Caenorhabditis elegans: one gene and its partners. The protein of the gene in region 2 purifies or fractionates together with the protein of the main gene of each other region. This does not show direct contact. Each region holds a gene or a part of one and is shown on either strand. Other genes may lie near its edges. The genes, in order: B0280.9, krr-1 and mppa-1.

Region 1 (8,282 bases), on a different chromosome or scaffold from region 2:
ACTCTCTCTCCTTATAGTTAAACAAACAAATACTTGTAGCCACCTGTCATTAAAAAGATACAATCTCCGAAGTCAGAATTTTTATAAAAAACTATAAAATTGATTGATAGAATGTAGGTTGCATCTTAAAAACTGTTTTCTATGTCTAAGAATTTGTGTTTTGTGTATGTAAAGATACTATCGGTTGTGATCAAAAATTGATTTCAATTGGATATATTAATAACATTTTTCCAGATATTTGCGTTCAAAAAACATAAAATTTGAAAAGGCTCTGACTATACCACTTCGGAATATAAATTAAATAAAAATGTCGTATCATTTTTTCGCCCACTTATCTTATTCAAATCCGACGATATCCAGCTCAACACTCAAGTTAAAGATCAAGACGAGTCACATTTGTTGAGGAGTAAATATAGAAGATTCATGAATTATAACTCGTCGCAATGATAATATTCAGGTGGAATCAGAGAAAGATTTCCAAAAATGATATTACTTCTTACTTAGTTAGTCAAAGACTTGTGATACAATCGAAAATTGGAAAATGAATAAAAGTTACACATGTCTTGTAACTAGTTTTTGTGCCTGCCTGTCGACTTTATAAACTCTATACATTAGAAAATAAATAATTTTAATCTCTAGTTCCTAAATCCAAAACATTGACATCTTAATTGATATTTTAAATTGAGTCTTTAATAAATTTTTTAACTGACTTATAGAAAGAACATATTTTTCATGATAATTGTTAGTTTTGTGATATCGTCGTATTACTAGAGGAAGTGGACTTTACAATGATAATAATCAGGCGGGCATTACATCAACATTTGGCTTTATACGTAGCTTCTATTCGAAAAACAATTATCGTGTGGAAGCTGAAATCTGGAGAAGGTACTTTGAAGGCACGTGTATTTTGATTTCAGTTTTTCCGTCGTTATGTACAGGCGCCAAAAAATTTGTGGAACTGAGTTTATAAAAGCAACAATCTTCTGAGTGCCAAGTTTCAATACTGAGGACATAATTTCACGAAATTTCTTTCCGTCATCAGTTTAAAGACACACACTGTTTTTTGAGTGGGTCTCGCCACGATCTCAGTCATAATGACCGTTACATTTTTTACAGATTTGTTAATTCGATGTAGTTTTAAACAGTTGATTTTATCTGAAAATGGTAATATATCGTATATTCTCTTTCAGTGCTGCACCCACATAGCTCAACTTGCATATATCTCGAAGGTTTTGGGTGATTTTGTACATTTCAAAAACATTAGGCATAGAAAAAGATTTAATAAGCATTTTAGCTAAAGTTTTTTGGCTGAAATCAAGAGATGACCGAGATATGAGATGTCAAAGTTGAACAATGGGGATGCCGCACTAATAGAGAATAAACGGTAACTTTTTTTAATCTTCAAAAAAAATAATTAAAAAATGGCCAAATTGACAGATCGGAAAAGTTATAATTGTAGGTTTTTCGATAAGAAATCTGAATTCGTTTTCCTCTCAATCAAATAATCAACGATCACAATTCTAGAATTAAGACATCAAAACACAATAAAATCGGGTGACAAGTAGGTCGGTAAGAGACCATTGGTTATTGTGCTCCAGTGAAAAATCTGCCGAAAAACGGACTTTGGAGAAACAAATTAAACTTTTCTTGTTCCTCTTATACTAATTCTACCAGACTTCACGTGAAAAACTGACATTCATTGTTAATTTTTCGTCATTTTCGATCGTTCGTTGTGTTGTTCAACCCTTTTCTAACTGGCGACTATTGAGACAATTCTATGTCACTATAGTGTACAAAGAACGATCAAGTCATTTTTCGGTACAGACTAGGACTACGTTCAACTGTTTTTGAATTTTTTGTGCAAACGTCGGTTTGTATTTTTAAATCTTCCAGTGGTTCAAAAGCTGCTCTGGAAGTTGGAATAAAAACGATAAATTTTCATAACAACAAAAAAACGGATGAAGAATAAAAACAAAACAATTTGGACGAAATCAACGACAAAGAAAAGAATAACAATGTTAGAACCAATTAATAGTCTGTAAAATGATGAATTTCAAAAACATGAAGACGTCCATCATCGTTTCCAACGGCCATATATCCTCCATTTGGAGAAAACTCCACACATCTTGCATGTGTCACTTTTCCGTTTCTTTCCGGGAAGTTTTTGAATGTTGTCTGACTTGCCACGTGGACGAGACGAAGATGATTGTCCTTGACATTTGAACAAATTGCCATCAATTGAGCATCAGAATTGAAAGCGATTGATGAGACCGCGGTGACGAGATTAGAAACATTGAAAAGTGGACGAGGATTTGTAGAATTGCGGCAATCATTTCCAGAATAGACATTCACGATTCCGGTATCACTTCTGGAAATTTCAAATTTTCATCATATAATCAGGATGTATGTAAAGACTAGGTCATTTATTTTCACCGGAATTCAACAAAAAAAGATTTTTTTTTTTAAATTTTTGTTGCTAAACTGAAAATATCAACAAAAAAAAAGATGTAGCAAACTGTACAATTATATTAATATATGAATTATATGAATGAATGACAGTATCGTGATTTTACGAATTATAAAAGTTTGATTTTAAAAAAGCTTACCCAGTCGCAAAGTAATCTCCATGTTGGCTGATGGCGAGTGTTGTTCCGTGCACAGCTCCATCGTCGGTGAATGTATGTTGCGATGATTTGGTTCCCGGCAATCCAATGTTTGCGATCACAATTTGGCCGGTCTCTAGAAATTTCGAATAATTTTTGAATTTTTGGCAATATAAAACCAACCGCAGATGATCCAAATTTCACGGCTGTGCGATGGGAAAAACTTGATTTCTGACGCATTTGCTGGGAGTGATATTGTTGTGATATGCTCCATCGACTGAAACATTTTACATTTAAACTTTTAATTTGCCAATAATTTAATTTTTTGACATACAGTAGCATGGAGAACATAGATGTGAGAATTGTGTCCTGCAATTGCCAAAAATTGAGAGTCATGCGAAATGGCAAAGAGCCGAATTCCTTGCTTTGGTACTGCTGTAAAATGTTCAAAGTTTTGCTTCAAATTTTATTAAATATTAAACGTACTGTTTGGAGGTTTCAACTGTGTCACTTCTCTTGTTTCCATATTGTACTGCATCAAATATTCCTTTCGGCTTGAAGAACAGATCACAGAGTGTCCTTTATCAGCAATTTCCAGACTATCAATCGGGAATTTTGAGAAATTCGCACTTTGAAGGAAACGATCCTTTTTAACCTCACGACTTACCTGAAATAAGTAAGGAATGGTTTAATTAAAACAGAAAACACAACTTACTTTAAAAAGTTGAACATTTCCACCTTGATCGGCAACAATGAGCACTGGTCGGGTTTTATGAAATTTAACAACAGTGATTCCACGAGTGTATCGGTGTCCGATGTTGAAATCTTTTATAAGAGTTGTATGAATAGTTGTTTTTGGTAAATTCACGTCTTTCGCCAAATATCCGGCAGCAGTTTTCAACAATGACCCTTCTTCTTCGTCTCCTAAAATTGTAAAATACGATTTTTGAACTATTGATTTTCCAAAAACCTGCAGCAGCCTTAGCCCATTTTGGTGTGCCTCCGTGGCGTTTTCTGAACGCCTCTTGCAATCTACCAACGTATTCCTAAAATATTAAAATTATTTTTCAGAAGTAATTTATCCTTCTGCCTATTTTCAATTATATAATCTTTATTACACGTTGAATAACGTATTTCTAAAAAAAATTTACCTTTGAATCCAATTCTCCATGTTCTTCGTCTGTGGTTCGCTTGAGTTCAACTCGCATTGTCATTTTCACTTTTTTTGGAACCGCCACAACCATATTATCGTCGTCCTCATCGTGCCACGCAGGCTTTTCAGACTCAATCACTGGCCGTTTGCTCATTTCTCTGAAAATTGTTCAAAATAACCTTAATGAAAGATTCAATAAGCTGAAAATTAAAGAAAATTCGGAAAAGAAAAAAGAAAAATGAGAAGCAATTGTCGTCAAATAGTGTGTGTTATCGTAGTTTTAGTGCAAACACCGTCACGTCTCAATGCAGAATTTCATTAATTTCAGTATTTCAGCTGAAAATTTCAGTCTTTCTTATCAATTTACTATTGTTTTCGTTTTCTTTTCAGCATTTTTGTATGTTTTCTACAAAATTTCCATTATCAGGAGTATTGCGAACCGCCAGAATGGTCACCTCCACCGGCCCTGAAGCAGAACTGGCTCCTATTGAGCAGGCGAAGAAACGAGTAAGTCAAAAATTAAGACCAATTCCAACCCTCATTAATCATTTCAGGCTGCGTTTGCCTGCGGTGAAAAATATGTGCAAAGTGGTTGCCGTCTTGGTGTTGGATCCGGAAGCACTGTCAAGTATTTGGTAGAATATCTTAAACAAGGATTTCAGAATGGAAGTCTCAAGGATATCATCTGTGTTCCAACCAGTTTTTTGGTAAACAGATTTTCAACAAACCCAATTGTTATAAATAAGTATTTCAGACAAAACAATGGCTGATTGAGTCTGGTCTCCCTGTCTCCGATTTGGATTCACATCCAGAACTGGATGTGTGTATTGATGGAGCTGATGAAGTTGACGGACAGTTCACGTGCATCAAAGGCGGAGGTGGATGTCTGGCTCAAGAAAAAATTGTTCAAACCGCTGCAAAAAACTTTTACGTGATCGCTGATTATTTAAAAGATTCCAAACACTTGGGTGATCGCTATCCGAATGTCCCAATTGAGGTAAATTATTTAACTTTTTATAATTATCAGTAAAGAAAGATGCACTAAAGAATAAACTTTAGAACAATAGTTTTTTCTAAATAGATGTAGTTATGTTGACTGTTTTTAATGAGATTTATTGCAGGTTCTACCTCTTGCTGCTCAACCACTTCTACGTTCGATTCCACGCGCTGAAGGTGGAAGCTGTCAACTTCGACAAGCTGTCAAAAAGTGCGGACCAATTGTGACAGACAATGGAAACTTCATTATTGATTGGCAGTTCGAGAAAAACGTATCCGGAAGAGATTGGTTCGCGATTCAGCAACGATTGGCCAATACACCAGGAATTGTTGAAACCGGATTATTCATCGGTTGCGTCGACGCAGTATTCTTCGCGTACTCTGACGGATCTGTCAAGGAAATTGTCAATTCCAAGAAGCACTGACTACTTGCATCGAATTTTGTTCATATTGAAAATTAGTTGTTTCTTATCACCACCACACTCTCCAAACTTCACTTTTCCTCTTCCCAGTTGTTGTGAAAATTGTACCCATTCATTCCCAATGTTCCTAGTATACGTGTAGTTCTTAGAATAGCCCCAATAAAAATTGTGTTGAAAAAACGTCTTTCTTAAAAAACTGAAAAAAAAATTAGAAAACTCTGAAAACGTTTTGAAATGTAAAGTGTCTGGATGTAAAGTGTCTGAAACTGTTTAATTTCAAATTACAGTAGTCTTGAAGTGTATGAATGGCGAGGATAGCTTAAAGATTGAAAGAAATGAGAATTTGCTTCCTAAATGACTCATTGGAGGCGGTAAAATTAAGAGCGAGCAATAATTTCAAAAATACTGATAAAGTTGGGAAATAAGTAAATATTTCAAAATTTTTAACAATTGCTGTATTAAAAAGCACTTTCGTCAAATCGTATCATTCGTATTCTATTCATTCCAGATTGTTCAAATTTTAATTTCCAAATGATTACATCTGAATTGAGTGATTTCCTCGAGATCAACGAAAAAAATAGTGTTCTAAGAGGAATATCGGCAAGCGATAAGGTATGATTTTGTGCACTAAGAGATAGGCACGGTCTCTGCTTAAAGACAAATGTAGTTTCAATTCAACTAGCTTGTGCTCATTTCAGATACTTTCATCAGGTATTTGTCAACTTCTTTTTTCTGAAAATGGGCATTGGCGGATACCGAATGGGGGAACCGCTGTGGCATTGTTTTTGAAAGTAAGTACGATAAATTTTAAAAAGATGAACTGTGGTAGAAAGCTGCAAAGATGTTATCATATGAAAACTACTAGAAGAACAAACAATTAATCTAGATTAATTATTTCAAAATGAGAAATGTATACTTTTTTCGAAGTGAGTCGCAGTAGGATTGTTTGCAAAATCCAATTTAGTTTTGCAAAGAAATACTCAAACTCAACAGACGATTAATTCAATTTTTCAGAACAGTACGGAACGATATTACCGGATAATAGTAATGGAACCATCTGCAGATCCAGATTGGGAACCAACAGTTCAATTTGATTTTCTTATTAGGTAATCTTGAATATAATTTAATTTCAACTAACACTATGATTATAGAGACAAAAAGTTTGAAACAATGCAGGAACATGCAAGGTTACTCGTTTTTGAGGCAGAATCCAGATACATTGGATTGAACTTTTACGACTCAAAGGAATGTGAGAACTTTCACAATAGTGTTTGCAAACGACAAAGTGAGTAATTCGATTATTAAACTAGTTGGAAAAATATCGCTTTTTCCATATTTTTATTATGTACAATACTATTTCTTAAATCAATTTTTGAGTTCAATAATAATAGGGTAATGTTTATATTTCCGTCTATCTTTGCTTTTATTACAGAAATAGGTAGAATACGGTAACTTGAGTTCTAATATATGCAAGATAGAACCCTAAATCGGTACTTGTGTATGATAACCCCACATTTGTAAAATTTATCTTTTTAGATTTTGAATGTGACTTTTATATATAGATTCTTAGGCTTACTATTCGAAAATGATATTCACATTTTTAATAAATGGGAAAATACAACAATTACTAATTTATTTTCAAAATATGGGGCTATAATACACAAGCCTTAAATTTCAGCGAGAAGTACCGATAAAGCAAAGCAGCCAGCATTGGAGGGAAAGACGAAGAAGAAAAGTAGTTTCTTTCATGATCCATTCAAATCCCACAGGGAACCAAGAAAACAAGTTGAAATTGAAGCACCAACAGATTTTCGGCATGTTGATGGTGTGAAGTTGACAGATGTACAAGAAGATTTGTATATGCAAGTTAGGAGTAAATTGAATGTATAGTTTTCCAAACCTCTATTGCCAAGACTACGTTGAAATTTCAGGTGAATAATCCAGAAGAAGAGGAAATTGTGAAGCAATTGATTGTAAGAAATGAAGATCATATTAGACAATCATTGATGGTGAAAAAAGAATCTCAAACTGTGAAAGAAGTTAAGGACAAAAATAAGGATAAAGTCAAAACAAGTAAAGTGAATCCGAAAATTGACAAAAGTCGACAAATAAGACTCGAAAACATTGTTGTCCAAAATTTGAAAATCTAAGACCGATTTATTTCTTTTTTTCAGAGCTTTTTTGGACGTAACAAACCAAAAGTCGAGGATGTTTCTCAACCGATTGTACCAGTCATCACTGGTGATCCATTGAATCCCGATTGGACAGTAACCGCAGCAACATCATTCAAACATAGTCACACTTTTTCTGCGGATCCCATCAAGGATCCATCAGTGTTGCTGAATAGAAGCACTTCAGTGCGAGTTCGAGGAAGTAAGTTGATTGACTGAAAGCGACATTTTGTGTGTTTAATTCTGACTTCAGCCATGTAAAATTCTTATTCAAACAAAAACTAGATTCAGACAAAAAATTGCAATTAAATTGTATTTTTATGCAAATCAAGGTCTCTTCATGAACATCAAAAAAACATTTTCTTCATAAACCCTATTTAAACGCGATCACGGGTTTTTCTTTGAATCACCAAAAACAGTCTGAAATTCGATATTAACAAAGAATAAGAAATTCAACTCATAAAGTCCCATTTTCAATTTAGGATAAGATCTTTGTTTGATTTAATTCCAAAATGTGAACTGCAAAACAAATTAATGATTGTCTCCTTGCACTTTTGAACCAATCAGATGTGCTGAGTAGAAGCCACTGATTGGTTCAAAAGTGGGCGTGGCTTCTCTTTTGAACGAAGTTCAAATAGGGAGATTTGGTAAAAACATTTCCGTTTACTGTAAATAGTTATTTTATTTTCTTCGTGGTATTTCTGAATTAAAAAATTATTAATATCATTTTCTTGGTATTTTAAAGCCCCCATTCACGCTAAATACACCTTCTTTAAAAATACACAGTTCAAAATATCAATCTTCCAGGTCTCTCAACTCCTCGAATTCCAACTCATCGTGACTCCTATCGCTCGGCTACAAAACCAGACACTGTTCCTAAGCAGACTCCTCCTCCAACTCACAATTCCTATGTTCTTCCTCATATTGATGAGAGGAT
Region 2 (7,862 bases):
AAGGAGTTTCTCGATGTCGGAATGCTCTTATCAACGGGGATTCCTCATCCTACGACTGGGATACTGGATACACGTGTCATCAAATTGGAAGTGGTCTCATCATGATTCAACTTGCTCAGCCCTACATTATATCTTCAATGCGAATTTTGTTATGGAATTGTGATGATCGATTCTACTCGTATTATGTTGCCGTATCGAAGAATCAAGACGAATGGGTTACGATTGTCGACCGCACCAATGAAGAATGTCATGGATGGCAAGAACTCATATTTGATCCTCTTCCAGTTGTGTATATTCGACTTGTTGGTACCCGGAATTCCATAAACGAAGTCTTTCACGTTGTACATCTCGAGGCTCCCTCAAACGTTCCAATTGCCATAAAATAAAACCGGGTTACAGAAATATATATAATGCATTATTTCACTTAAATGTCTGATGAAAAATAAGTTATTAAATTTATTGAATAAAAATGTTAATAATTTCTTTTGAAAAAAAACCACATACACGGACGCCACACACCGAAAATAAATTTATTTTTTTATTTTCTTTATTCTTGAAATTCTAACCGTTTTTTTCAGATTTTTGAGAGGGATGGCGAAGCGAGAACTGAGGAAAAGTCTCAAATCAGAGATAGAAAACCTATTCAAATCACCAGAACAAGCAGAACATGAATTTCAATGTAAGGGGAATAAATAAAAAAATAAATTCCAGGAAAAGAAATTAATTTCAGGTGCAACAAAAAGACGTCGATTAACAAGCTCTGAAAAACCAACCAAGTCTCCTAGTACAAGTAGTGATGATCCATCCAAGCCAAAATTAGAGTTAAGGCTGTCCCGACTAGGTGATGGCCATCGATTAGACTGCGAAAGTAATAATCCACTTTAAAATCCACAATTTTCGCATAGTTTTCCAGCTCTGGCTCAGTTTATTCACTTCAGCATATTTGGATCATCACTCCAAAAGCCCAGATGGGTCAGTCTATCCCATCATAGAAATGTCCTTCAGAACCTAGTGGTTCGTGTCAATGTGGATGACGATTTTTTCGTAAGGGATTGCATTGAAAACCTAAATCGCTGAAATCATTACAGACGACAACGAATCTAAGCTTTCTTAGTGAATTCTTTGAAAAGCAATGGATAGAGTTGGATTCAGATGTCAGTGATCGTGGATTGTTCTGGAACAGCATTATGCAAGTCCGGCTTACTATTCAGGAACAGATTCGGAGAAAGTCTGTCATAATGCAAAAAACTTATGATAGAGACGGAAAACACGATAAATCGCATTTTGTGCTCACAACTGAACAATTGGCTCAACGACGCTACCCATTTCCTGGTGAAGAAGGTGTTGTACCCACTAAACAAGGGTAAATTAGCGATATTACTTGTTTTCAGTGCAGATTAAGTTTTATTTAAAATTTCAGATATAAAAAAATATCAGCTTCATCTCCAATGTTTTCTGTTGACTGTGAGATGTGTGAAACAGACGTTGCGAATCGAGAACTTACACGAATATCGATAGTGGATGAATTCGAGAATACGATTCTAGATACTCTTGTGAAACCAGAAGGTCGAATCACAGATTATGTGACGCGATGGTCTGGAATTACACCGGATATGATGGAAGGAGTAACGACGACTCTTGGAGATGTTCAAAAAGCTATTCAGAGCTTGTTACCGCCGGATGCAATTCTTGTTGGACACTCATTAGAGCACGATCTACAGGTATTCGAATTTTCAGTTTATTTCCTATTTTATTGAAACCAATTACAGGCAATGAAAATGACACATCCATTTTGTCTCGACGTTGGTCATGTTCTCAACTATACGAATAGCAACACAGAATTCCGAAATAGTCTCAAAAATTTGACGGAACTCTTTCTCGGAGCACAAATTCAATCAGAATTCGGTCATTGCTCGTATGAAGATGCGTGGGCAGCGATGCGCCTCGCTCAGCTGAAACTCGAAAAAGGATTGATGTTCGGGAACGTGAGCTTCGGATGGAAATATTCTGAATACGCAAAAAACAATGGAGCAGTTGAGAAGAAAATTGTCACGGCTGCTGAAATCACATCAAAACCGTGTACTGATTGCTCTCAGCCAACAGTTGTTGCTTGCACAGTTGCCAATTGCAGATGCAGATTTGTATCGACTCCTTCGAAATGTGTGCATTGTGTGAAGATCGGGATAAGTGCCCAAGGAGATTTTCATTGGCAGGATACACTTGATGTGGATCATGAAAAGAAAGCATCTCCAATCGGGAATTATTTGAAAAAGGATAAAATGAAATCTGTGATGTGTGCTTTCGATACTGCTATTCTCGACTGTCCTCCCATATCAAAAAAGTAAGATATTTAAAAATAATAAAGTTTAAGTACCTAATTTATTTCAGGGTCCGCTCAAAACTTCATTCCTCTTTTCCCTCCTATAATGGATTCGTCAACAGTGTAGCTTCTGAAATGCTCAATGACAGTGTAATCCTCGTGGAGATTGACAAAGAAAAAATAGAACCATTGGAAGAAACTGATTCAGAGCAAGGAGAAGTTCCTGACAACGCGGAGGCACTGAATCGGATTCTTGAAAAACTGGTTGCCGCCACGGCTAAAAACTCACTGATTATGATGATCTTGTCTAATTCCACTAAAAACGTGCTCTATGTAAGAGTCAAATAATCTTTTTTTTTAATATTAAGTTTCTCATAAAATGAATAACAAATAAAATTTGGTTTAATTTAAACTTCAATTTCCAACAAAACAACAACATTGATAACAAAGAAACGAAACAGTGAAATCATAAAATTTACTTGGCGGCTTTACTGAGCTTTGCCTTCTTTTTCAGCTTTTCCAAATCGATCGGCGCGTCGTTCGGTCGCTTCTTGTTCTGTTTTTCTCGCGGAGCTTCCTCTTTTGCTTGATACACTTTCAACTTTTGCTTCTGTTTTTCCACAGTCTTCACCGCCGATGCTTCCAATTTCGCTCTGAAAATTTCATAAATTTATTAAATTCCGTTACGATTTTTGAATTAAGAATACTTACCTCTTTTTGTTCATCTTTCTTTCGTTCTCGCGAATAAAATATTCTCCGCTTTCAATCTGCTTGTCAATCTTGCTCATAACTGGAGCCGGTGGGAACGGAGTGAACTCCTTCTTGGGCTTCATCTTGTAAGCCTTCTTCTTCTTTGCTTCCTTTGTTGTAGTTGCAGATTGAACCTTCTTTCGGTAGTTTGGAAGATAAGCATCCCAGTTTGCATCTTTCAATTCATCATTTTTAGATAATTCCCTTTTGATCATCATAGTTTTAATATTGTAGATTGGGTGAATATTTTTCATACAATCAGTGACGATTTGACTGAAATTTTTTATGATTTCAAAGAGAGTCAGAATATATTTTCAACTCACTTGATTTGTTTCAGTCCAGCAAGCGGTCCAACAGCACAAACAGTTCCTCCTTGAACACAAACATAGCACTGTGTCAGCAATTCGAGAGCTTTCAAGGTAGCACCATCGTTTCCAATTAGCCGAGCTCTACGCTTCACAAATCGTTCTTTATTGCGAACCATTGAAGAGATTTTGATAATCTCGCAATAGATTTCATCTTCGAGAACACGAATCGCTTGTTCATAAGGCACACTACGGGATAGAAGCTTGATGACCTCGCGAGCCTTCATGATTATATAAGGATCCCAAGTTTTACGAGTAGTTCGGACACACATTGTTCCCTCGAGGAGATCCAAATCTGCTTTCAGGAAATGCTCTCCTAGAGCTTTTTCGATGAGTGGCCAACTTTCTTTAATATACTTTTCGCGATATTTGGGGAATAATGAAGAAAATGATGACTCTTGGAGTAGACCATTCGGATTGTCTTCCTGAAAAATGTATTCATTTTCTTCAGGTTCATACTACAAGAGAAAAATTACATGGAACCAACTTTTTTCATTGCTTAACATTTAATTTTTCAGAAAATATTTAGTGTTTTGGAGATTTTAAAATTAGTTTTAAGTAAATTTAGCAGGTAACTTCAAAAATCGAAATATATTTATTTAGAATACAATATCAAAAACATACCTTGCTGAAAGTGTTAATATCCCACCACTCTGCATCTTTCTGTGGTCCGAACATTTTTGCAGTCTCTTTCCGCGTCTTCTTCTCTTCCTCCGGTTCACCAGCCCATTCGGGCTCGTATTCTCCACGAGGTTTAGCTTTTTTGTCAACGTTGCTCATCTTAAATTATTTTTAATTAATATTTAATGTTTTATACAAAATAAAATAAAGTTATATACAAAAAAAATCAGAAGAAATTGATTAAAAATGAAGAAAAAGGGAACAAAAACTGAGAGAGGAATTCGTGCGGCAGCATTGCATAAAAAGTGCGCGGGGGTTGCGACTCCTGCTTCACGCTCCGCCCACTGGTTTGTCGATTAATTTTTCTGTGCGGAATTTACACTGCTTCTGCTGGCTTTTCTTATGTTTTAACTGTTTTTGTGTTTTATATAATTCTGAAAGTTAAATCTTGTTTCAATTTGCGTCTATTTTACCTGTTTTTTTAAACAAATAAGTGGCAGGTAATGAACGGCGCAACAACTGAAGCAGAGGACCATAGCGTATACTTGCCTTCTGCGCATCCGACTGATCAGATTGACGTAATTTTTTATTTTGTTGCGTTCAATTTCATTATAATCTTGTTCAGCCAATCGAGGGAACATCATCGGAGAATAATGATTCGCCAATTGATGAAAGCTCGAATGATTCGACTACTTCTTCGTTGTCAGTACTAAAGCCCACTGATCCTGTAAAATGCGATACGTGTTCAGTATTGGCTACGCTATCGTTTTTCAAGCAGCGCCAGGTTGGTTGTACAGGATAAGCTAAAACAAATTGGAAAAATTTCAGCCAGCGAGTGGCGGCAAAACAGAGGATATCTTCAAAAGCTATTGCAGTAATTGCAAAACTTTTTTTGGAATGTCCTCCAAGAAAGTCAGAGGAGTATTTTCGTTTGTGAATGAAGGTAGAGACACGATACTTTTATAGAAAATTTAAAATTACAATTTCAGATGGAAGAATATTGTCCAATAGTGAAAGACTTGAATTCCTTCGTTCTCAGAAAAGAGCCAGATCCGCTTCACGCTCAAATAGTGTATGTCAAGTACCTGAAAAAGGTTCGGGAGTTTCCAATTCTGACACGTCGACTAATGGGAATTCGGATGAGAAGGACGAAGAAATTGCTAAAGAAGATGATGAAGGCATCGATGAGGATGATGGTGATGAGGAAACACCTGAACAAAAAACCACCATCCCAAAAAAGAAACCCAAAAATGCGTTTGGTGGAAAATCAAAGAAAAACAATTGGGGAACTCGGAAGAAGAGCAAAGCCAAAGTCTCTCAAGTTCAGTCCACGAGTTCCGAGAAAATCAGTAAAAAGGACCAAGAAAATGCTCGTAAGTACGAGTTTTCGAATATTGTTGCCAAATATTTTATTTTCAGGTCCGAGAGAAACTAAATTAAGAAATACGCCAACTGTCACACCAATCGACAAAAAGAGAGGTCGACCCATAAAAATCTCACCAAGAGCTGCGACGATTTCGAGTGTATCAACAAAGCCAACACATACTTCTGAATTTTTCAAAAGTTCTCCTATAACGTCACATGTGTCCAAAACTGCGGAAACTTGCTGCCAAACCGATACGGATCTCTTATTGAAATCAACATATCTCAAGGAATGCTTCAATACAACTGTCAGAGATGCCCTTGGAGAGCCGGTTGCTGCTCGGTTAAATGATATGCCAATGGTTTTGAAGAAAAAGTTTCTACTTATGATTAGAACGATTAGCGAGCAGGAGAAGCGAATTTTAAAATATGAAGAGAACGAGGAGAAAAGTCTGTTGGCAGTGAAAACGTTGAAAGACTTCGGAAGGTCTACTCGACTCGAATTTTCCGACAGTTTCCGAAATATTCGTGCTGATTTGGTTGAGAGAAAAGAAGAATTCAAAGCTCATGAAGCCGAGGTTGTAGCAGTAATAAAAAGCCAGACAAGGACATATGAAGCTTATAAGCAACAGATGCAAAAAAACGCAGAAGATCAGAAATTGGAGTACAGCGCTCTGCTGGCAAAAGTTGAGTTCCTCCAACAAGAACTAACATATGAGAAGGATCGAGCTGAATTCTATCTGCGAGCAAGAGATGTATGCAAAAAAGAACAAAATAAAGCCATCGAACAGGCGGAAACTGCTGTGAAGAACTTGAATGATCGACTTTTTCTGGCGGATAACGAGACGTGTACTCGCTGCAAAACTGTCGAGAAGATACGCAAAAAAATGACGATGGAAGTGGCTGAAATGACTGAAAAATGTGCACGGGCAAATCAGGAAAGGAATGATGCGGTGGAGAGAGCCGCGTTATTCGAGTCTGCTGCACAGAAATTGGGTAAAGATTGTGATTCGATAAAATACGAACGTGATTCTTGGAAAGCATATGCGGAACGCTACAAGAAAGATGTCATAAAATTGACTCATACTTTGAAAGGTTATTATTTTTCTAATTATTTAAATTTCAAAATATTTAATTTTCAGAAAAGGATAAAGAGCTGCTGGACAAAATCGCTGAAATCGCTGCAACGCCTAAAAGTATAACAACACCGAGAAGCGTGGCGTGTACACCGAATGATCCTGAAAGGGTTTCTCCTCCGGAAGATGGGGAGATAGTTGACACTCCACCTCATTCATCTCCTCAAGCTACACTAAATCCTGCACCGAAAGCTGTCGCCAAGCCGTTGATACAACAAATTGTTGAAAAGAAGGCGCCGCCACAAATCGCGTCCGGTTTTGAATCATGGATTCCGAAAGAAAAATTGAATGCTCCGGCGCCTTCCATTCCAAAATCGGTTTCTGCTTTTGGAGTTCCATTGAAACCGCCGAATGCTGAATCAGAGAGGCCGAAGGTTGCACCTTCTTCTCAACCGAATCCGTGGGAAAAACTGGCAAAATCCACTTCAGCAGCTGCTTCTAATTCTCTATTTGAAGCTCTTTCTAAAGTTCAAGCTGATAATTTTAGTGGCGGTGGAAGCACTCCGTCGTACTCGAAATCTTATTTGGAAGAGATGAACCGAGTAATGAGTACAAGAAAACGCGTCGTAGAGGAAGCCGCAGAGGTACAGAAAAGTAAGTTTTTTTCAGATTTATTAACTGGAAAATTATTTATTTATTTATTTCAGAGCCAAATCCTGCTCCGTCCGGTGTTACTGCGACTCCACCCAAAAAAGCAAAAACGTCAAATTCTGTTCCGCCAAACAAAATGGTGTCTGCCGCTTCTACACCTTCGTCATCGTCTACCCCAGGCCCCGCCAGTACAAGTGTCGGCAGGTTCACTAATTTGAAAAAGATTCCGAAACTTAGTGAAAAACCTCCACAAGCCGAATTTGCTCCAGCTCTCGGATTGTCTCAGAAAAGTGACGAGTCCGGTGAAATACCAGGATTGGGAATGGAAAAACTAGATGACAGTGTGAAGGAAAAAGAAAAAGAAGAGATGATGAAAAAGATAAAGCCAGCAGAATCAACGACTCCCACTGTCAAAGCATCGCCGGCTCAAAATCCGAATAAGCCAAATACTCCAGCTCAGAAGCAGAATAAGTTCAATGGCTCTCCAAATAAGAAACCAAATATGAGACCCGTCAATCGTACTGGTAATTCACAAGCTCCTCCCTGGCAAAGATCCCGACAACCATCACCACCTCCATCAAATCAGTCGCCATGGCGTCAACAACCTCAGCAACAATATGGAATACAATCGAATCAGAATCGAGGTTTCCAAATGGATTTGGGTATGGACAGGCCTTGGAGCGATTCTCCGTCTGGGCCAAGTGGTTCACGTTCAAA
Region 3 (9,018 bases), on a different chromosome or scaffold from region 2:
AAAATTAAAAATTATAACAGTTTTTCTAACTGTATACTACTTTTTTAAAATTGAAACAAATCGGAAAATTTTCAGAGGTTTAAAGTTCAATTTTTCCATATTTTTTCGATATTTTACTGTACTTACACTTACAGTACTGTAGGATTACTGTAGTTTCGGAAAAAATTGATTTTTTGTCTTCTGAAGCGGTTTTGTTTTTTGATTCGGTAGAGGGATATGGTCGGGACACTGTAGGGGTACTGTAGAGCTACTATAGGAGTACTGTAGGATTACTGTAGTTTTGGAAAAAAAAAAATGATTTTTTGTCTTTTGAAGAGATATTAGTTTCTGTTCAGTGGAGGGATATGGTCGGGGTACTGTAGGAGTACTGTAGGATTACTGTAGTTTTGGAAAAAAATTGATTTTTCTCTTTTGGAGGGATATGGGTTTCCGGTTAGTCGGGGGATAAGGTCGGGGTACTGTAGAGGTACTGTAGGATTACTGTAGTTTTGGAAAAAAAAATGATTTTTTGTCTTCTGAAGAGGTTTTGTATTTTGGTTGGTGTAGGGATATGGTCGGGGTACTGTAGGGGTACTGTAGGGGACCTGTAGGGGTACTGTAGGAGTACTGTAGGATTACTGTAGTTTTGGAAAAAAAAATTGATTTTTCTCTTTTGGAGGGATATGGGTTTCCGGTTAGTCGGGGGATAAGGTCGGGGTACTGTAGAGGTACTGTAGGATTACTGTAGTTTTGGAAAAAAAAATGATTTTTTGTCTTCTGAAGAGGTTTTGTATTTTGGTTGGTGTAGGGATATGGTCGGGGTACTGTAGGGGTACTGTAGGGGACCTGTAGGGGTACTGTAGGAGTACTGTAGGATTACTGTAGTTTTGGAAAAAAAAATTGATTTTTCTCTTTTGGAGGGATATGGGTTTCCGGTTGGTCGGGGGATAAGGTCGGGGTACTGTAGTAGTACTGTAGAGGTACTGTAGGATTACTGTAGTTTTGGAAAAAAAAATGGTTTTTTGTCTTCTGAAGAGGTTTTGTATTTTGGTTGGTGTAGGGATATGGTCGGGGTACTGTAGGGGTACTGTAGGGGACCTGTAGGGGTACTGTAGGAGTACTGTAGGATTACTGTAGTTTTGGAAAAAAAAATTGATTTTTCTCTTTTGGAGGGATATGGGTTTCCGGTTGGTCGGGGGATAAGGTCGGGGTACTGTAGTAGTACTGTAGGATTACTGTAGTTTTGGAAAAAAAAGAAGATTTTTTGTCTTCTGAAGCGGTTTTGTTTTTTGGTTCGGTAGAGGGATATCGTCGGGGCACTGTAGGGGTACTGTAGAGCTACTATAAGAGTACTGTAGGATTACTGTAGTTTTGGAAAAAAATTGATTTTTCTCTTTTGGAGGGATATGGGTTTCCGGTTAGTCGGGGGATAAGGTCGGGGTACTGTAGTAGTACTGTAGTAGTACTGTAGAGGTACTGTAGAGCTACTATAAGAGTACTGTAGGATTACTGTAGTTTTGGAAAAAATTGATTTTTCTCTTTTGGAGGGATATAGCTTTCCGGTTAGTCGGGGAATATGGTCGGGGTACTGTAGGGGTAACGTAGAGGTACTGTAGGAGTAGCTTTGGAAAAATTGATTTTTTGTCTTTTGAAGAGATATTGGTTTCGGTTCAGTGTAGGGATATGGTCGGGGTACTGTGGTAGTACTGTAAAGGTACTGTAGAATTACTGTAGTTTTGGAAAAAAAGACTTTTCGTCTTTTGAATGGATTTTGGCTTGGGTTCAGTGGAGGGATATGGTGGGGGTACTGTAGGAGTACTGTAGGATTATTGTAGTTTTGGAAAAAGTTGATTTTTTGTCTTTTGAAGCGGTTTTGTTTTTTGGTTAGTGGAGGGATATGGTCGGGGTACTGTAGGATTACTGTAAGTCAAGTACTGTAACTTTAAGGTTTTTACAGTACTTGTAAGGTACTGTAAGAATTTTTTAATTATAAAATTTTCCGAAAAGGTTTTTTTTTTGAAAAAGCTCAATTTTTCCATATTTTCTCTAATTTTCAACGGTTTTTTTTGTACATTTTTTTTGCGATTTTTCAACAAAAAAAAATCGAAACCTCTCCTCGTGAAGTACAACACAATTACCTCCAACAACCATTCTTTGAGGAGTATGAGCTCTGCTCAAAAACCCATAAACATCAGAAACTCGAATTTTATCCATCGAATTGTTGCCAAATTTCGGATATCCTATAGTATTATTCTGAAAAGCCGCTTGATGAATCCAGTCAGTAAGGAGAATTTCGATGGCTTCAATTCGATTCGGTAGATCTTGATTCTCGTAGGAAACTGTTAGTTTCGCCTGTTCGAGACTTTGTTCGTCAAAAATTGGCTTCCAAATAGTGTCGGATAGTACGTGAATTACAGAATCCACTCCGTCACGATGGCAGCTCGCCGCGTACATCATTGTGTCACGTGTACTCTGACAATCCACAATTCCACTGTTTTCCTCGAGTTTTGCAAAGACTTCGTCGCGGCTTGAGAACGATTCCGATGACTGGAAATTTTGCAATTTTTTTTGGGAAAAATTAGTTTTAACAAATTTTCGAGTTTCAAAAAAAAACTATTTTGGAAATTTTTAAAATTAAAAAAAACCTTACAATTAAAGGAGGACTAACGGTTCGGACGATTTTGAACGTATAGACCCAAAATGTTCTCAAATGAACGAATTTCGTGATGAAACTGCTCAAAAATTTTTCAAAAATTTTTTATGGCGGTTCAAAATTTCGAAAAAATTACACTGATTTTAGCTAAAATCTCGAATTTTGCCTATTTTTCGGTGTCACATCGGTCCGAAGTTGACTTTTTCGGAATTATCATCCTTTATTGCATATATTGGTAGTTTATCTCATTTAATTTTGTTGATTAAGGTACAATTAAAGCCGATCGGTAACCAATTTCGACGATTTTTGGTCACCTATCGGCTTTAAATGTACCTTAATCAACAAAATTAAATGAGATAAACTACCAATATATGCAATAAAGGATGATAATTCCGAAAAAGTCAACTTCGGACTGATGTGACACCGAAAAATAGGCAAAATTCGAGATTTTAGCTAAAATCAGTGTAATTTTTTCGAAATTTTGAACCGCCATAAAAAATTTTATCCGTTAGTCCACCTTTAAGTTATTCTTGAAACTATATATATATGATATATACTATGTATACTGGATATATAGTATGTATATATATTATGTATATAACGAATTTTTCCTAAACTACCGTAACCCTACAGTACTCCTACCGTACCACTATTGTACTACTACAGTAACCCGACTATATATGTTTCAAGAATTTCTTAATTGTAAGGGTTTTTTTTTGAAACATTTCAATTTTTCCGTATTTTCAGATATTTTCTCATGGATATATATATATATATATTTATTTATTTTTGTGAAAAATTAGTTTTTTATTGGAAATTTTTGGTTTGTGGGGGCAAATTTGGCTCTGTAGGGTTTTTTTTTCGAAAAAATTACAAAACTTGAGTTTTCTCGGGTCATTTTTGGATTAATTTTTACCCCCGTTCTCCAAAAAACAAAAACACCCAAAAAATGCGTAGAAATTCAAAATTTTCTTTTCAAAAAATTAAACTTCAAAAACAGAAATTTGCAACAAAAATTTTAGAAAAAAATAGGAATTTCTACTGAAAAAACTAAATTTTCCAAAAAAATAACTTTTAAAAAACTTGGTTGAGTAGCGAAATCTGTGGAAATATTTTTAATTTACTCCAAATTTTCCCCTGATTCCGAATATCTATGTGAAAAAAATTAAAATTCAAAAAAATTCCCCTGATTTTATATTGAAGCTTGAAATCGCCGAATTTCATTTGTACTTCGAAAACACTTTTTTAAATTCGCGCCCAAAAATATTCGCATGGAGCGCGCTTTGATTTTCTTCATTTGAATATTTTCTTCATTTTTCGCCGAGTTCAGTTTTTTTAAAAACCAGTTTCATTAATTTTTGTCGAATCTGTATCGGTTTTTCTAAGAAAAAATATTTTTCGACAAAAATTAATGAAACTGGTTTTTAAAAAAACTGAACTCGGCGAAAAATAAATAAATTATTTAAATGAAGACAATCAAAGCGCGCTCCAATGCGAATATTTTTGGGCGCGAATTTAAAAAAAGTGTTTCCGAGGTACAAATGAAATTCGGCGATTTCAAGCTTAAATATAAAATCAGGGAAATTTTTTTGAATTTTTTCACATTGATATTCGGAATCAGGGGAAAATTTGGAGTCAATTAAAAATATTTCCACAGATTTTGGTACTCAACCAAGTTTTTAAAAAGTTATTTTTTTGAAAATTTAGCTTTTTCAGTAGAAATTCCTGTTTTTTTTTAAATTTTTGTTGCAAATTTCTGTTTTAAGTTTGTTTTTTAACGTATTTTTTGAGTTTTATTGGTTTTTGGAGAACGGGTAAAAATTAATCCGAAACTGGCCCGAGAAAACTCAAATTTCGTCATTTTTTCCCGATTTGCATCATATTTTTCTCTAATTTTTCCAATTTTCCATAATTTTTCCTATCAAAAGCCTACATTATAAGCAAGTTTCTCCACAATTCTCGAAATTCCAAACGGAAAACCATTTTCATAGCGGCAGCCGCTCTCAATCGCGACGCCAACAGTCACAAAATCGCCGTAAGTGTCTTCTGTGCAAACTTTCAGGCCGTTCGGAAGTCTAGTAACCCTCGAGTTTCTTCCCATTGGCGGGCATCCTTTTTCTATTGATTTGGAGTTGTTTTCCATTGGCAGAGGCACGGAGAGCGGGAGTTTCTGCGCAATTTCCTTGTTATTTCGGACGGAAGCGCTTATATCTCGGCATATTTTGATGTAGGGGATGCTTTTCCGAAGGAGCATCTGAAAATTTAATGTATTTTTGATAAATTTCGAGTAAAAAACTGAAAAAATCGAGAAAAATAAATAAAAAATGATTAAATAAATAAATGTGTGCAATTTGTCGTCAAATGTGGTGTGCGGTGTTTGCGGACTTTTGGGATTCGAATAAAAATTATTTATTTTTTATCTATTTTTTATGTTTTTCTTTGATTTTTCTTTGATTTTTAGCTGAAATTATTGGATTTTTATTGATTTTTATTGTTTAAACGATAAATATTGATACTTTACAGTAAAAAACCGCAGAAAATATCGAAAAATCTCAATAATTTTTTTCTTTTAGTTTCTCATTGTTTCCATCAGTTTTTAGGAGCAATTCATATGTTTTCTTCTGCTTTACCGCTCGAATTTTAATGTTTATGGAGAAAACCTTATTTTTATATTTTTAGGCGCGCTAAAAAATGCTGCCCAATCGCCTACTGGCCAACCGTGCCTACTCCACAGCAATAAATCGATTTCGTGTGGTGGAAGTTGGCGCGCGAGACGGTTTACAGGTAATTTATCCTGGAAAATTGCAAAATAATTGCAAAAAATCCATTATTTTCTTAATTTCAGGCCGAAAAGAAGTTCGTTCCCACCGAAATCAAGGTCGAGCTCATCGATCGGCTCTCAGAGTGCGGATTTCAAACGGTAGAGACGACAAGCTTCGTCTCACCGAAATGGGTGCCCCAGTTGGCTGATCACAACGAAATTGTCAAGAAACATCGGAGATTTGAAGGTGTCTCCTACCCGGTTCTGGTTCCAAACGCCGCTGGCCTCAAAAACGCGGTATTTTATTGATTTTTTAGGGCTTAAAGGTGGAGTAGCGCTAGTGGGGATGACCGAATATCATAGTAAAAAAATTCAAAAAATTTTTCTAAATTTTATATGATTTTTTGAAAATTGAAAAAATCTCAGTTTTTGCCTAATTCCTATTTGAATTTCCGCCAATTGGATTTGTTCGATGGAGCGCGCTTGCACGTTTTTAAATTTATTTATTTTTGTTATTTTCCACCAATTTTTAATGTTTTCGGTGTATTTTTGCTCGAATTTTAGAGAAAAAGCCAAGATAAATGCAAATTTTCGATTAAAAAGCACGCTGACAGGCGTAAAAATGACAAAGTAACGCTTTTAAATGATTTCGAACCTGAATTAATTAATTTCACTGATTTACGCCTGTCAGCGTGCTTTTTAATCGAAAATTTGAATTTATCTTGGCTTTTTCTCTAAAATTCGAGCAAAAATACACTGAAAACATTAAAAATCGGTGGAAAATAACAAAAAATAAAATAAATAAATTTAAAAACGTGCAAGCGCGCTCCATCGAACAAATCCAATTGGCGGAAATTCAAATAGGAATTAGGCAAAAACTGAGATTTTTTCAATTTTCAAAAAATCATATAAAATTTTGAAATTTTTTTAAAAATTTTTAATCATGATATTCGGTCATTGTGGTACCATAGGCATGTTTTAAAGCAATTTCCCCACTAGCGCTACTCCACCTTTAAAATTGCAAATTTCTCAAGTTTCCAGCTCGCAACAGGAGTCGTCGAAGAGATTGCCGTATTTGGAGCAGCTTCAGACGCGTTTTCACTGAAAAATGTGAATTCCAATGTGGAAGATAGTCTGAAAAAGCTCATGGAAGTCACAAAAATCGCCCTCGAGAACAATATTCGAGTACGTGGCTACGTTTCAGTCGTCGTTGGATGCCCGTATCAGGGAGCTGTACAGCCGGAAATGGTGGCCAGAGTCGCCGAGAAGCTTCTAGAATCTGGGTGTTATGAGGTCTCGCTGGGCGACACTATTGGCGTTGGAACAGTGAAAACTGTGTCGAAAATGCTGGATACGGTGCTGAAAAGTGTGCCAGGTAGCGGATTTTTTTAAATATTTTATATTAAAATTTCGATTTTTCGAGTGAAAAACTACAAAAAAAGTAGTTTCCCGCAGTTTTCCCGGCTTTTTTCGCATGAAAACCAATCGATTTCAGTCAAATAACTCACGAAACGATAAAAATCTCAATTTTCGTTGCGAGACCCACAATCTGTGGAGAAATTGACCGAATATCGTGATAAAAAAATTCAAAATTTTTTTCTAGACTATATGATTTTTTTTTGAAAATTGAAAAATCTCAGTTTTTACATAATTATATTTGAATTTTCGCCTATTGGATTTGACCGATGGAGCGCGCTTGCATTATTTTAATCAATTAATTTTATTTATTCTCATTATTCGACTGATTTTCTTCTTTTCTGTTTTTTTTTTGTTGGAAAATGAAAGAAATAAAAAAGACAGATGCAAAATTTTTGTTAAAAAATAACTGAAAATGCCTTAAACTGTAATTTTTTTTGAATTCTGACGACGACAAACCTGAAATTAGTATATTTCACAGTTTTACAAAATATATTTTTATTTATAAAACTGTAAAATATACTAATTTCAGGCTTGCCGTCGTCAGAATTCAAAAAAAATACAGTTTTAGGCATTTTCAGTTACTTTTTAACAAACATTTTGCATATGTCTTTTTTATTTCTTTCATTTTCCAACAAAAAAAAACAGAAGAAATGAAGAAATTCAGTCGAATAATGAGAATAAATAAAATTAATTAATTCCAATAATGCAAGCGCGCTCCATCGGTCAAATCCGATTGGCGGTAATTCAAATAGGAATTAGGGGAAAACTGAGATTTTTTCAATTATCAAAAAAAAATCTTATAAAATCTAGAAAAAATTTTTTGAATTTTTTTATCATGATATTCGGTCAATTTCCCCACAGATTGTGGGTCTCGCAGCGAAAATTGAGATTTTTATCGTTTTTTGAGTTATTTCAATGAAAAATCGATTGATTTTCAGGCGAAAAAAGTCGGGAAAACTGTGAAAAAAAATTATTTTCGAAAGAAAAAAAAATTTCAAAAAATCACCACCATTTCAGCCGAAAAACTCGCAGTTCATTTCCACGACACATACGGTCAAGCTCTCGCAAATGTGCTCATTTCCATCGAAAAAGGCATCCGAAGTGCGGATTCAAGTATCGCAGGGCTCGGTGGTTGCCCATATGCGAAAGGAGCAACTGGAAATCTTGCAACTGAAGATTTATTGTATTTTTTGAAAGGAAACGGTTTTGAAACTGGTGTCAATTTGGACAAAGTTGTCGAAACTGCAAAATGGTTTAATGAAGCCGCCGGATATGATAAATGGTCGAGAGTTGGAGCTGCAATGATGGCTAAAAAGAGCAAAAGCTGCTGCTGAAAATGTGTGCTGTAAAAAATTTAAAAAAATTTTTAAAAATTCGTGTAAAAATTACCCCGGTTGTTTAGGAAATAATAAAGAGATTAGAGACTTTTTTCAGATTTTTATTTTCTTGAGTTTTGCCGGTTTTCAGCCGATTTCTATCTTTTTTTTCTCATTTTTTGTGATTTTTTTTCGCTAGTTTTCCCCTCAATTTCTCGATTTTTTCACGATTTTTTGAAAATTTTCGGAAAATTGAATTGTTTGCAAAAAAAAAAATTCAAAAACCGCATTTTTCTCAGAATTTTTCTGGGATTTTGTACAAATTTTTGAATTATTTCTCAAAAAAAAGCAGGTTTTTACCGATTTTTTTGGTTTTTTCCCCAAAATTTTCCGATTTTTTCCGAGTTTTGCCGGTTTTCAGCCGAATTCTACTCTCGATTTTTTTACGATTTTTTGGAAATTTTCGGAAAATTATTTGAAAAAAAATCAAAAAACCGCATTTTTTTTTCTGAATTTTCTGGGATTTTGTACGAAATTTTGAAATTTTTCTCGAAAAAAGCAAGTTATTCCCCAAAATTTTCTGATTTTCCCCCAAAAATTTAGATTTTTCCCGAGTTTTCCCCAGTTCTCAGCTGATTTCTATATTTTTTTCTCAATTTTTGTGATTTTTTGTTGCTAGTTTTCCCTTCAATTCCTCGAGTTTTTCACGATTTTTTGGAGATTTTCGAAAAATTGTTTGAAAAAAATCAAGAAACCACATTTTTCTCTGGATTTTCTCGAAATTTGCACAAAATTTTTGAATTTTTTCGTAAAAAAAAACTGTTTTCCCCAAAAATTTCAGATTTGTTTTTGATTTTTTTCGAGATTTTCCCCTGATTTCAAAGTTTTTT

The links.
Region 1: the proteins of krr-1 (region 2) and B0280.9 fractionate together in Caenorhabditis elegans (co-fractionation; one large-scale study listed by BioGRID). This does not show direct contact.
Region 3: the proteins of krr-1 (region 2) and mppa-1 fractionate together in Caenorhabditis elegans (co-fractionation; one large-scale study listed by BioGRID). This does not show direct contact.

The regions. Positions count from the first base shown.
Region 1 is NC_003281.10:7,118,982-7,127,263, forward strand, and holds B0280.9 (U3 small nucleolar RNA-associated protein 18 homolog), read right to left. Parts: upstream 3,915-8,282; 5' UTR 3,911-3,914; coding exon 3,755-3,910; intron 3,650-3,754; coding exon 3,574-3,649; intron 3,528-3,573; coding exon 3,319-3,527; intron 3,271-3,318; coding exon 3,090-3,270; intron 3,039-3,089; coding exon 2,938-3,038; intron 2,881-2,937; coding exon 2,787-2,880; intron 2,740-2,786; coding exon 2,607-2,739; intron 2,369-2,606; coding exon 2,029-2,368; 3' UTR 1,924-2,028; downstream 1-1,923. Other genes in the region: rpia-1 (Probable-ribose 5-phosphate isomerase), read left to right, coding at 4,204-4,263, 4,311-4,463, 4,511-4,753, 4,878-5,177; B0280.2 (uncharacterized protein), read left to right, coding at 5,706-5,786, 5,873-5,965, 6,189-6,280, 6,326-6,459, 6,853-7,040, 7,106-7,252, 7,349-7,547, 8,153-8,282. UniProt on the Caenorhabditis elegans protein: Involved in nucleolar processing of pre-18S ribosomal RNA.
Region 2 is NC_003283.11:7,227,543-7,235,404, reverse strand, and holds krr-1 (KRR1 small subunit processome component), read right to left. Parts: upstream 4,216-7,862; coding exon 4,060-4,215; intron 3,861-4,059; coding exon 3,394-3,860; intron 3,344-3,393; coding exon 3,032-3,343; intron 2,974-3,031; coding exon 2,796-2,973; 3' UTR 2,669-2,795; downstream 1-2,668. Other genes in the region: hpo-9 (BTB/POZ domain-containing protein 9), read left to right, coding at 1-386; C05C8.5 (Exonuclease domain-containing protein), read left to right, coding at 592-679, 731-868, 914-1,044, 1,089-1,363, 1,421-1,721, 1,770-2,341, 2,389-2,668; gei-6 (GEX Interacting protein), read left to right, coding at 4,560-4,634, 4,682-4,840, 4,885-4,999, 5,046-5,429, 5,476-6,513, 6,561-7,148, 7,202-7,862.
Region 3 is NC_003279.8:1,746,170-1,755,187, forward strand, and holds the start of mppa-1 (Mitochondrial-processing peptidase subunit alpha), read right to left. Parts: upstream 4,887-9,018; coding exon 4,566-4,886; intron 2,527-4,565; coding exon 2,118-2,526; intron 1-2,117. Other genes in the region: Y71G12B.10 (hydroxymethylglutaryl-CoA lyase), read left to right, coding at 5,324-5,416, 5,478-5,690, 6,435-6,768, 7,830-8,146. UniProt on the Caenorhabditis elegans protein: Substrate recognition and binding subunit of the essential mitochondrial processing protease (MPP), which cleaves the mitochondrial sequence off newly imported precursors proteins.